3 linked regions of the Schizosaccharomyces pombe genome follow. Changing the gene in region 2 together with the main gene of any one other region gives a genetic interaction. Each region holds a gene or a part of one and is shown on either strand. Other genes may lie near its edges.

The links.
Region 1: mutations in dcr1 (region 2) and scs7 together harm fitness more than expected from each alone (negative genetic interaction), as found in Schizosaccharomyces pombe (2 studies listed by BioGRID).
Region 3: mutations in dcr1 (region 2) and pfd4 together harm fitness more than expected from each alone (negative genetic interaction), as found in Schizosaccharomyces pombe (2 studies listed by BioGRID).

Annotation. Positions count from the first base shown.
Region 1 is NC_003424.3:4,055,090-4,058,849, forward strand, and holds scs7 (ER sphingosine hydroxylase Scs7), read left to right. Parts: upstream 1-1,686; 5' UTR 1,687-1,868; coding exon 1,869-1,926; intron 1,927-1,946; exon of another isoform or gene 1,947-2,214; coding exon 2,215-3,200; 3' UTR 3,201-3,726; downstream 3,727-3,760. Other genes in the region: RNA-binding protein Rsd1, read right to left, coding at 1-783, 875-928. UniProt on the Schizosaccharomyces pombe protein: Ceramide hydroxylase involved in the hydroxylation of sphingolipid-associated very long chain fatty acids. Postulated to hydroxylate the very long chain fatty acid of dihydroceramides and phytoceramides at C-2.
Region 2 is NC_003421.2:1,508,744-1,512,503, reverse strand, and holds the start of dcr1 (dicer), read left to right. Parts: upstream 1-1,946; 5' UTR 1,947-2,213; coding exon 2,214-3,760. Other genes in the region: ER to Golgi ceramide transport protein, lipocalin superfamily Svf1, read left to right, coding at 1-921. UniProt on the Schizosaccharomyces pombe protein: Required for G1 arrest and mating in response to nitrogen starvation. Ago1 regulation of cytokinesis and cell cycle checkpoints occurs downstream of dcr1. Required, indirectly, for regulated hyperphosphorylation of cdc2.
Region 3 is NC_003424.3:504,162-506,993, reverse strand, and holds pfd4 (prefoldin subunit 4), read right to left. Parts: upstream 1,086-2,832; 5' UTR 1,011-1,085; coding exon 639-1,010; downstream 1-638. Other genes in the region: yip5 (Rab GTPase-binding protein), read right to left, coding at 1-451; atg10 (autophagy C terminal domain family protein), read right to left, coding at 1,402-1,941.

The sequences.
Region 1 (3,760 bases), on a different chromosome or scaffold from region 2:
TCGTCCGCTAATCTTGTCTCGAACAATTTGAGCATCGCGAACAGGACCAGCTTGTTCGAAAAAATCATATAATTCCCTAGAAGTCAAACGATTTGCGAGTTGAGAAACGAACACAGTACGGCGATCACGCTCTTCCTCTGAAAGTTTAGAGGAGCGTTCACGAGGACGGGAACGACTTCTCTTACGCTCATGTGAACGGTCATCATCCCTCAAGTCCTCATAATCATAATCATGGGCTCTAGAAGAACGAGAGGAGCGTTCTTCATAGCGGCGACGACTACGACTATGCCGCGAAGAGTAAGGAGGGCTGCGTGAATAATCATCGTATCGATGGCGACTACGACTTGAGGGATGGCGGCTTCGACTTGACCTTGAACTGCGATCGCGATCGCGAGAACGAACGGGTGATCTACTTTGATGAGAATCTACAGAAGAGTGAGGAGAGGGAGAGCGACTACCATAATCGGACCTTGGACTATATGATCTCCTATGGTGTCTTGGGGTGCGATGACTTGAGGAATTTGTAACTACATCATCGTTATAACCGCTATCCTCTCGTTGAAAAGATTGTTTGGAAGATCTGGCGTACCGATAACCCATTGAAACGGGAGGAGGAGTTAGACGACCTTCACTTTCGTAATTTTTAGACACGGGTTTGAAAGAGCGATCATGCAACCGTGTAGGCGGTGGAGGAGGGTTAGAGGGATGACTATGAGTGGAAGAGGTGAGTGAGGATTCATGAAAAGAAGAAGATGCCTTTTGCTGATTTTCTTGATTTTGCGGCTAGGAAAAGGGTTAGTAAAAACAATAAACACGGGAAGACAAAAAAACAAAGGGAAAAGGCGGGAAGGAAGGAAAAAAATTGTAAACGTACCACTTCTTGCTTACGAAAAGGAGCCTCAGCCAAGGCTTCCGCGTCCAGCTGCATTTAGATTAGATCTGTTTATCTATGCGTGGAAAATACGTTCGTTTATTTTCGTTTTCAATACAACAAACTCTGACAGGATCGGAACAGACTTCGACTGGAAAACTAAGTAAGCTAGTAAAAATGGAGTTTTGTCAGTCTAGTAGCTTTCGTCGCTTCTAACACGAATTGTTTTGTTAAAAAATATTAATAATGAGTACTCTTTTGAGCTATTTTGTCCTCTTTCTTTCGGTGGAAAAAAAAGTGGAATATTCTACTGCCTAAGCGATAAAAGATGAGAGAAATTTTAGTACAAACAAAAAAGAAAGCGAGGAATAGCGGAATAAGGAAATTCCAAGCTAAAAACAATTACCGACAATAAGAAGCAAAGAAACGGAAAGGAAGGAAAACAAAATTATACCTAACCAAACCAACGAAAAGTAAATCACGAAAAGTTAATAAATTTCGATCAACTTAAGGTTTTCTCTTTTCAAGTATTTTTTCGCAAATAATAATTTTTAGTCTACTATGAATAAATCAATGAATTGTATCTGTAAAGCACTTCACTCGTCTGTTCTTTCCCTGTGTATAGGCCCTTGAGTGCAATTTTCTGGTGTTCAGTTTCGGAACCCGTTTTGCGATACGGTAAATATTGTTTTCCGTTGTCTTACCATTTTTCGGAAAAGTCGATCAAAAATAGCACGATTTTTTGGTTCGCCCCGCAATGCCTTTTTGCCCTTTCCTGCGACATATATAGGCTACTGCATCCACGCCACAACATCGTGCCATTAACGCAACACAAACAAAGAACTGACATTTTGATCAATTGGACAAAAATCCAAGTAAAGAATCATAGGATCAGTTGCTACGTTGTAATATTTACTGTATTTGTTTATCAAACTCATCAGAAACACGCTTGCTACAGTTTTATCACGAATTAACAATTCATACTCCCATCTCCAAAATGGCCTCTGTTACTAGTGAAAAGTGTGTTATCCTTTCTGACGGCACTGAATACGATGGTAAGTATTTAAACAAGGAGAAATGGCAGGGTGTTTGGGTTTTGAGAAGGAGATTTGGTTGAAGGACTAAAATTTTTTCTCGGCAACAGAGTGTTTGAGAGGCAATGTATAAAAAACAATGAAAACGCATATAGCAAAGGCTTATTGGCAAAAGATCCATTGTGGGAGATGTGCCATTTCTTATCTTTTTTCTTTGTTCGTTGTGCTTTTAACTTTTTTTCACCTTTCCCCCTTTGCCTTAGTTACACCAAAATACATGTATCGTTCTTTATACTAACATTCCATTAGTCACCAACTACTTGGTTGCCAACAAGGACGCTGCTGACTTGCTTCGTCGCTATCACCGCCAAGAGGTTGCTGATATCCTTAATGCTACCTCCAAGTCCAAGCACTCTGAAGCTGTTGTTGAGATCTTGAAAAGTGCTAAGGTTCCTTTGAAGAATAAGGAATTCAGTGATCTTGTCGACCAGAACATTGGTGTCGGTTATGGCAATGAATTCATTGTCAAGCCTACCGATCTTGACAAGGATTTCGAGAAGAACCATTTCCTTGACCTCAAGAAGCCTTTATTGCCCCAAATTTTGTTTGGTAACATCAAGAAGGATGTTTATTTGGACCAAGTTCACCGTCCCCGTCATTACCGTGGCAGCGGTTCTGCTCCTTTGTTTGGAAACTTTTTGGAGCCTCTTACCAAGACCCCTTGGTATATGATTCCATTGATTTGGGTTCCCTGTGTCACTTATGGATTCTTGTACGCCTGTACCGGAATTCCCTTCTCTGTTGCTATCACCTTCTTCATCATTGGATTATTCACCTGGACTTTGGTTGAATATACTATGCATCGTTTCCTCTTCCACTTGGATGAGTACACCCCTGATCATCCTATTTTCTTGACTATGCACTTCGCATTCCACGGTTGCCACCACTTCTTACCTGCTGACAAGTACCGTCTTGTAATGCCTCCTGCTTTGTTCCTTATCTTTGCCACTCCCTGGTATCACTTTATTCAACTTGTTCTTCCTCACTACATTGGTGTTGCTGGTTTCTCTGGTGCCATTCTTGGTTACGTTTTCTACGATCTTACCCACTATTTCTTACATCACCGTCGTATGCCCAATGCTTACTTGACTGATTTGAAGACCTGGCATTTGGACCATCACTACAAGGATTACAAGTCTGCCTATGGTATCACCAGCTGGTTTTGGGACCGTGTTTTTGGAACTGAGGGACCTCTTTTCAACGAACAGGGAAAGATCAGCACTAAGGCTAAGTAGATTGTGATTGCGTTTGAATCATTTAGCTGCTAAATTGCTTTCAAGGTGTTAAAAGTTTCTTTGGTCCTTTTTAACTATCAATAATTTTGTGTGCTATATAAATCTTGTTGTATTTTTCTTTTCTTTTTTAATTGCTTTCCAAATTTTTTCTCCTCTCTTTACCCTTGAAATCACTAAGCAATTTTCCCCCATTTTCTCTCTGACTTTAACTAGGCCTTATTATAGTGCCTTAAAGCTGTGTATTATATTTGAATTGCAGAAACATCAAATTTGATTTAATTTGATTGATCCACTCGCTAAAGCATCTTGTATCCCACATTGAAATTGTCTTGTCTTTCTTCTTTTCTATTAATACTATTTTCTGGTTTCTTTTGAACAAGTTTTCAAACTTTACCTTGTTAAGTCGAACTTAATAATATTATCTTGACTATCGGCTATATAATTTGAGTCTAAGGTTGCTATTTTATTTTTCCTTTTATCTGTCTTTTAAATATAATTCGAATTTTTAATTGTTTTTACCACCCCATCTGTTTGTAGTGCGAAATGATTTTCTTGTAGAA
Region 2 (3,760 bases):
CAATTGATACATTCCAACTTGGGTTCTTGGACAACCACCGCTCAATCTACGTGTCGCATTTTCGATTTGAAGCATCCTGAAAACGATTTGTGGACTTCTACCAACATGGATCAATTTAGCTTTGAAAATGACAAAACCTCCTTTGTCGCCAAAAATTGCTCTGTCGTGTTGGAAGACCAAAAGCGTTACCGAATTCGTGCCTCCATCAACATGGACTCCATCATCGATATAACTGTCCATCAAGACGCTCCTCCTTTTAAAATCGGTGAAGATGGAAATTCTACTTATGGAACAGATCCTAGTAAGCCCTGGGCTTCCATGAAGCATACCTTTTGGCCTCGCACTCGTGTTGAAGGTAGCATCGTTGCAAGGGGTAGAGTTGTGGATGTCACTGGTCCCGGCATGTTTGTTCATGCACTCCAAAATGGCAAACCCCACCATCTTGCTTCATCTTGGGAGTTTGCCCTCTTGCAGCATAAAAAGTTTACCGCCATCATGATGCAGTTCAAGACACCCCCTAGCTATGGTTCTACTATTGTCAATATTGGTGGTATCGCTATGAAAGACAAAATTATTAGTGCAACTGTCGATAATACTATTGAGCACGTTGAGACCACACTCGATCCCGATACGGAATGGCATGAACCCACTCGCATTTCCTACGAATGGGACGGAAAGGATGCTGAAACATACACCGAAGATATTCATCTTTCAGTCGATGCTCCTTTGGGAAGACGTCTTCAACGCATCGACGTTCTTGCCGAGATACCATCTTGGCTTAAGGGTTTCGTCCATGGAGTCTCTGGAACGAAACCTTTCATCTACCAATATTTCTCACCTGTCAAATTTACACTGAAGATGGGTGACGAGGTTATTGAAGATGAAGCCACGCTTTTTAATGAGACTACTTTTATTTCATAAGCATCTTTTAACAAAAATATTCAAGCATAAATAATTCGATGCATTTTGGGCTTAAACAAAGAGTGAACGTGCATCCATCTTTTTTTCAGAGCTTTTCTATATTAAACTCTCTGGTTTTGTATTCTTTTTTTCCTTTTTTTTGTCCTGTTGTTTTTAATTTCGTGTCTTCGAATTTTTTTTTCATACTATTTTTCGTTTTATTAAAATAACTTCATATAGACTTATCACTTATACTCTGAACTTGATAGTTGTGCTGCTCTCATATTGAATATGATTCTTGTTAATGGTCTTGTGCTACAAGCTCTGAAATTCATTCGTTCTCTTGTTTGTGTACTAAATCGATCTTGTCATCCTAATACCTATACTGATGGACATGGGCAAGGCATCTGGCAAAATTGTGCATTCGCTTATGTTTATTGAAAGACTGCAGTCTGTGTAAACGAGCGAGAATGTTTTAAAATTTTTTAAAAATTTGAATACTTTTCATTTTAGAGACTTCAAATAATATTGTTTTCATCATTAAGTGGATACTAATTAGCAACTTCTCAACTTCTATTTTATTTAAAAAACTAATTCATTGTAAATGTTGTATTGGTTTTCTACGAAAGCAGTTTTTCTATTATTGATAATTTCGCTTTTACCACTTTATAATAAAAAAGTATTGTATGTTTAATGTTTTCTAATATTTTTTTAATAAGTTTTCCTATGTTCCGATAAGAGCAGGCAGTGAACGCGTAAACAGATATATATGTATGTATTTATTATTAAAATATTATGTAAATAATTCTTAAAAAACCGAATCATTCTAGCATAAAGCATTGGAAACCAGTAATTCAACGTAACTGAATTTCACGGATTTACAAGCAAGTCGTACAGTCCTTTCTTCATTCAATAATATTGATTTAATAATAATATGTATATGCAATTTTCCTTTTTTTTTTTTTTTTTTTTTTAAACATTTTAAAATAAAGCATAGGCGTTTAATCATTTTTTATTAAAGTGCGTAACTTATGTTGTAAAAAACTACCACCTACTTTTCTCTTAAAACACCAGAATCTATAAGTGTAATGATTCCCCTTAACAACGAATTTAGAAGCTATCAATAGTATTGCGTCTGTTTTTATCAATCTCACAAACAATTATAGGAAGTATTCTGCTCGTGTGATTGTTCTTTTTCTTCTGGTAAAGATGAACATATGCATGTTTATTTGAATAGCTTAGGATTCATTATTTTTTAAGAGACAAATTTCTCGTCAATTGAATGAAACCTTCCGCCTTTATTTTCTTTTTGAATGGATATTTCAAGTTTTCTACTTCCTCAACTTTTACGTAAATATCAACAAGATGTGTATAATATCGCGAGCAAGCAAAATACTTTACTTGTTATGAGAACGGGCGCTGGTAAGACATTACTTGCTGTGAAGTTGATAAAACAAAAGCTCGAGGAGCAAATTTTAATCCAAGAATCAAATCTTGAACATAAAAAAATATCAGTTTTTCTCGTCAACAAAGTCCCTTTGGTATTTCAACAAGCGGAATACATTCGATCTCAACTACCGGCTAAGGTTGGCATGTTTTATGGCGAATTATCTATAGAAATGAGCGAGCAGTTGTTGACTAATATTATATTGAAGTATAATGTGATTGTTATTACTGCAGATTTGTTCTATTTGTTTCTTGCAAGAGGTTTTCTTTCAATAAATGATTTGAATTTAATTATATTCGACGAATGTCATCATGCAATTGGAAATGATGCGTATGCTCGCATCATGAATGATTTTTATCACAGAGCCAAAGCAGTATTGTCAAAAAAACATTTCACCCTACCAAGAATTTTTGGTATGACTGCTTCACCATTCACTGGAAAAAAAGGAAACTTATACCATCGACTGTATCAATGGGAGCAATTATTTGATTCTAAAGCACACGTGGTTTCGGAAAACGAGCTAGCCGATTACTTCTGTCTTCCCGAAGAAAGCTATGTAATGTATTCCAATAAGTTGGTTGTGCCACCCTCGGATTCTATTATCAAGAAATGCGAGGAAACTCTTCAAGGATGCAAGTTAATTTCTCGGGCTGTTAAGACTGCTTTAGCAGAAACCATAGATATGGGTCTTTGGTTTGGGGAGCAAGTTTGGTTATATTTGGTTGATTTTGTGGAAACGAAAAGATTAAAAAAAAAGGCTTTAGGGAAGCAGTTGTCAGATGACGAGGAACTGGCAATTGACCGGTTAAAAATATTTGTTGAAGATTGGAAAAATAACAAATATTCAGACAATGGCCCTAGAATCCCTGTTTTTGATTCCACTGATGTTACTGATAAAGTCTTTAAACTCTTAGAATTGTTAAAGGCTACTTACCGCAAAAGTGATAGCGTTCGTACGGTTATTTTCGTTGAAAGAAAAGCTACGGCGTTTACTTTAAGTTTGTTTATGAAAACTCTTAATCTGCCTAACATCCGCGCTCATTCTTTTATAGGACATGGACCGTCCGATCAGGGTGAATTTTCTATGACATTCAGGAGGCAAAAAGATACCCTTCATAAGTTTAAGACTGGAAAATATAATGTTTTAATTGCTACTGCAGTTGCAGAAGAAGGTATCGATGTACCATCATGTAACTTAGTTATACGCTTCAATATTTGTCGGACTGTCACCCAGTATGTCCAATCTCGAGGTAGAGCGAGAGCAATGGCTTCAAAGTTTCTAATTTTTTTAAACACAGAAGAGTTGTTAATTCATGAACGCATTCTACACGAAGAAAAAAATCTTAAATTTGCCCTTTCAGAGCTCAGCAATTCGAATATTTTTGATTCATTGGTATGTGAGGAAAGAGAACG
Region 3 (2,832 bases), on a different chromosome or scaffold from region 2:
ACACTAGGATACCCCATAACAAAACGGCGATAATGGTAGTGTAACCATAAATAATTGATGCTGCAGAGATCAACTTTTTTATAGAATAGCCACTTGTACCATGCCCTGTGGCATAACGAGCGTATTCGGTAATTGAGTTGGAAAAGAATAGAGCCTGTATAACCGTAGTGGTTATCCAAAAAGGACCGTATAAATCGGGACGATCATCTACAACATCAAAGAAATTTACAGTGGGAATAAGAGTATGTATACATCGTTGAACCACATCTTTAGTTTCCACGTTAAATGAATCTTTGATGGTCCATGGCGTCTCTTGCATGGATGCGCGACGAGATTGTAATCTAGGGGCCGGAGGCTTTGTAATGGGAGTTCTCTGCTTATAAAGGTCTTCAGCCTCAAATGTTGTACGACCTAGGTCAGCTTCCGAGTCAATTTCAATCTCATGTGCCATAGTGGTGGTTGGATACTTGTAATGGCTTAGGGTGAACAAAGAAGTTTACTTATTGGAGGCGCTAATTGCATACAGATTTGGTATTGTGAATAAATTTAAATGCATGAAATGTTATTTAATTAAAGAAACTAATTCAGAAAAATAAGATGAAGCTTCTAATTTTGAGATTTGCTGCTTTTTCCAAATCTTAGTCTAGGTTAATTTGATCGTGAAATTTAGAGTACAGCATTGATTTCAACTCTTGAATGCGGGTTTCGTCTTTTTCCATGGAAGATCTTAATACGTCGACTTGCTTTTCCAAACTTTCTTCTGACTGCTCAAGCTGGTCAAGGAGTACAGGAAGGGAAACTTGGAAAAAGGCATCGCCAACCTTTAAAGCTGGAATATCGTCTCCATCATCCTCGTCTAGTAATTCACATTCATTTTTAGCGTCAACAATATCCTCTATTTGCGTTTTTAAATTCTTAATATCAAGTTCTTGAATGGCCTTTCGAGAATGCAACACTGAAAATTCATTTAAATTCCTTTGATCTTCTGCTAGAACAGGAACTTGTTCCATATTTGTTGCTAAGGTGTGTTAGGAGGAATAGTATATAACCCGGTTTCGTTTGTCTTAACAAACAATTGTTGGTGTAGAGATCAATGCGGTCAAGTAGAGGTTTAAGTGGAACAGTTGAATGATATGTCAAAACAGAAGGATTATTAATTAGTATAGTATTTTATCTACAAATTTAAAGAACAAAAGCTATTTTCTACAATTGAGGTCTTCAGATCCGTAATGTTTTTGCTGTCAAATAACAGGTCAAAATTTTACTATAGATTCACAGGGTATTATAAACTAAAACCAGAGAATACGGATTAAATTGACTTTTAATTTAGTTTTAATCATGGGGAATAATATTTAATAAGACAAAGTCTTAGCAAGCATACCCGTTTATAACAGGTTATCTTTAGGATTTTTCGGCATCGTCAACTGCTTTTATTATAGGCTGAGTTAGCGGAGAAAGGACTTGATGAATATATAGCAACCAAAGAGAGAGATACTTGGGATCCTCTTTGTCTATCTGAAGCATTTCGAAATAATCACGCGTACGACATGGATGGATATACCATGCTATGCCTACTGTACCTGGACAGTCCCCAATAGCAAGAGCGTCATATGCTAAATTTTGACTGGATCCTTCTAATAACTCAAAAATCTGTTCCATCTTGGTAAGAGGATCTGATCCGTTTGCATAAGGTTGAAAGAAGAACTGCGGGACTTCGAAGGATGGAGAATCCCTAATCCAGGCGTGCATAGTGATCATTGGATTCATAAGGCTTAAAATATCATCTTCTTCCTGCTCGTATAATAAGGAATCATTTTTATCAAGTAGCTCAGTATGCCATTCTAACTTCAAAATACACTCATCAAACTCAATCAACTCACAAGAAATACCACCTTTCGACAGCTTCTGAGCAAGGATAAGTAATTGAGACTTAAAGCTCATTATTGTCACGGTTAGCCAATTTAATCACTTTATCTTTGCTAAAGCAATAAGTAATTGAAGAAGGAATTATTGTCCCATAAGCCTGGCTACAGTCTGATTGTTCAACGCACTATTCCAATGAGGGCAATAGAGGCAATCACCTGTCAATATATTTGAAGTTAAGTCTCGACAAAAATGGTGTTTCAGTTATTTACAAGTATATTAATTCTACATCTTGCTTCTAAAGTTGACAATAAGAGTATGACAAAACAGTACGTTGGAGTTTACAAAGTTATCCAACAATATAGTGGTACACTGTGTAGTTACTACGTTTTCAACATTTCTTCTCAGCAAATGTAGGATTTCTTAAAAAAATAATTTTTTCGACTAGAAATTGGCGGTAATCAAGAGAAGCTAATGTATAAAAACAATATGTTTGGACTTGGAAAAAAATGAAAAACTAAGGTTTTATATTAGTAATTTCCTCTTAATACTTATACGAGCAAAAGCAAAAGCAAAAGCACTGTTCCAATGGTGCTTATAAAGCCAACTGATCTGTGAAGTAAAATTGAGATATGTGTGTAAAGCTGTTAGCAACATCAATGTCACCATTATATATTGTTAATGGGCATTACGACTTTAATCATATCTGATATGCACATATAAAAGAAATTCTCTTTTAAGGGCATGGAACGTCCTCTCAATTAGTAATTCGGAGACATTCATGTCGTTAATGTGGTTTACCGCACAGTGATTCGACTTTCTTATTGACGGCTGCCAAACACTTTACTTACATATATGTTGTTGTACAGCTTCTTACATCAACGCTAAAATATATATACATTTCCAATTTGAAACATCGTAAGGCGTTGGATCGTTCTTATCAGCGTCTAAAAAAGTAAAGAATTTGTC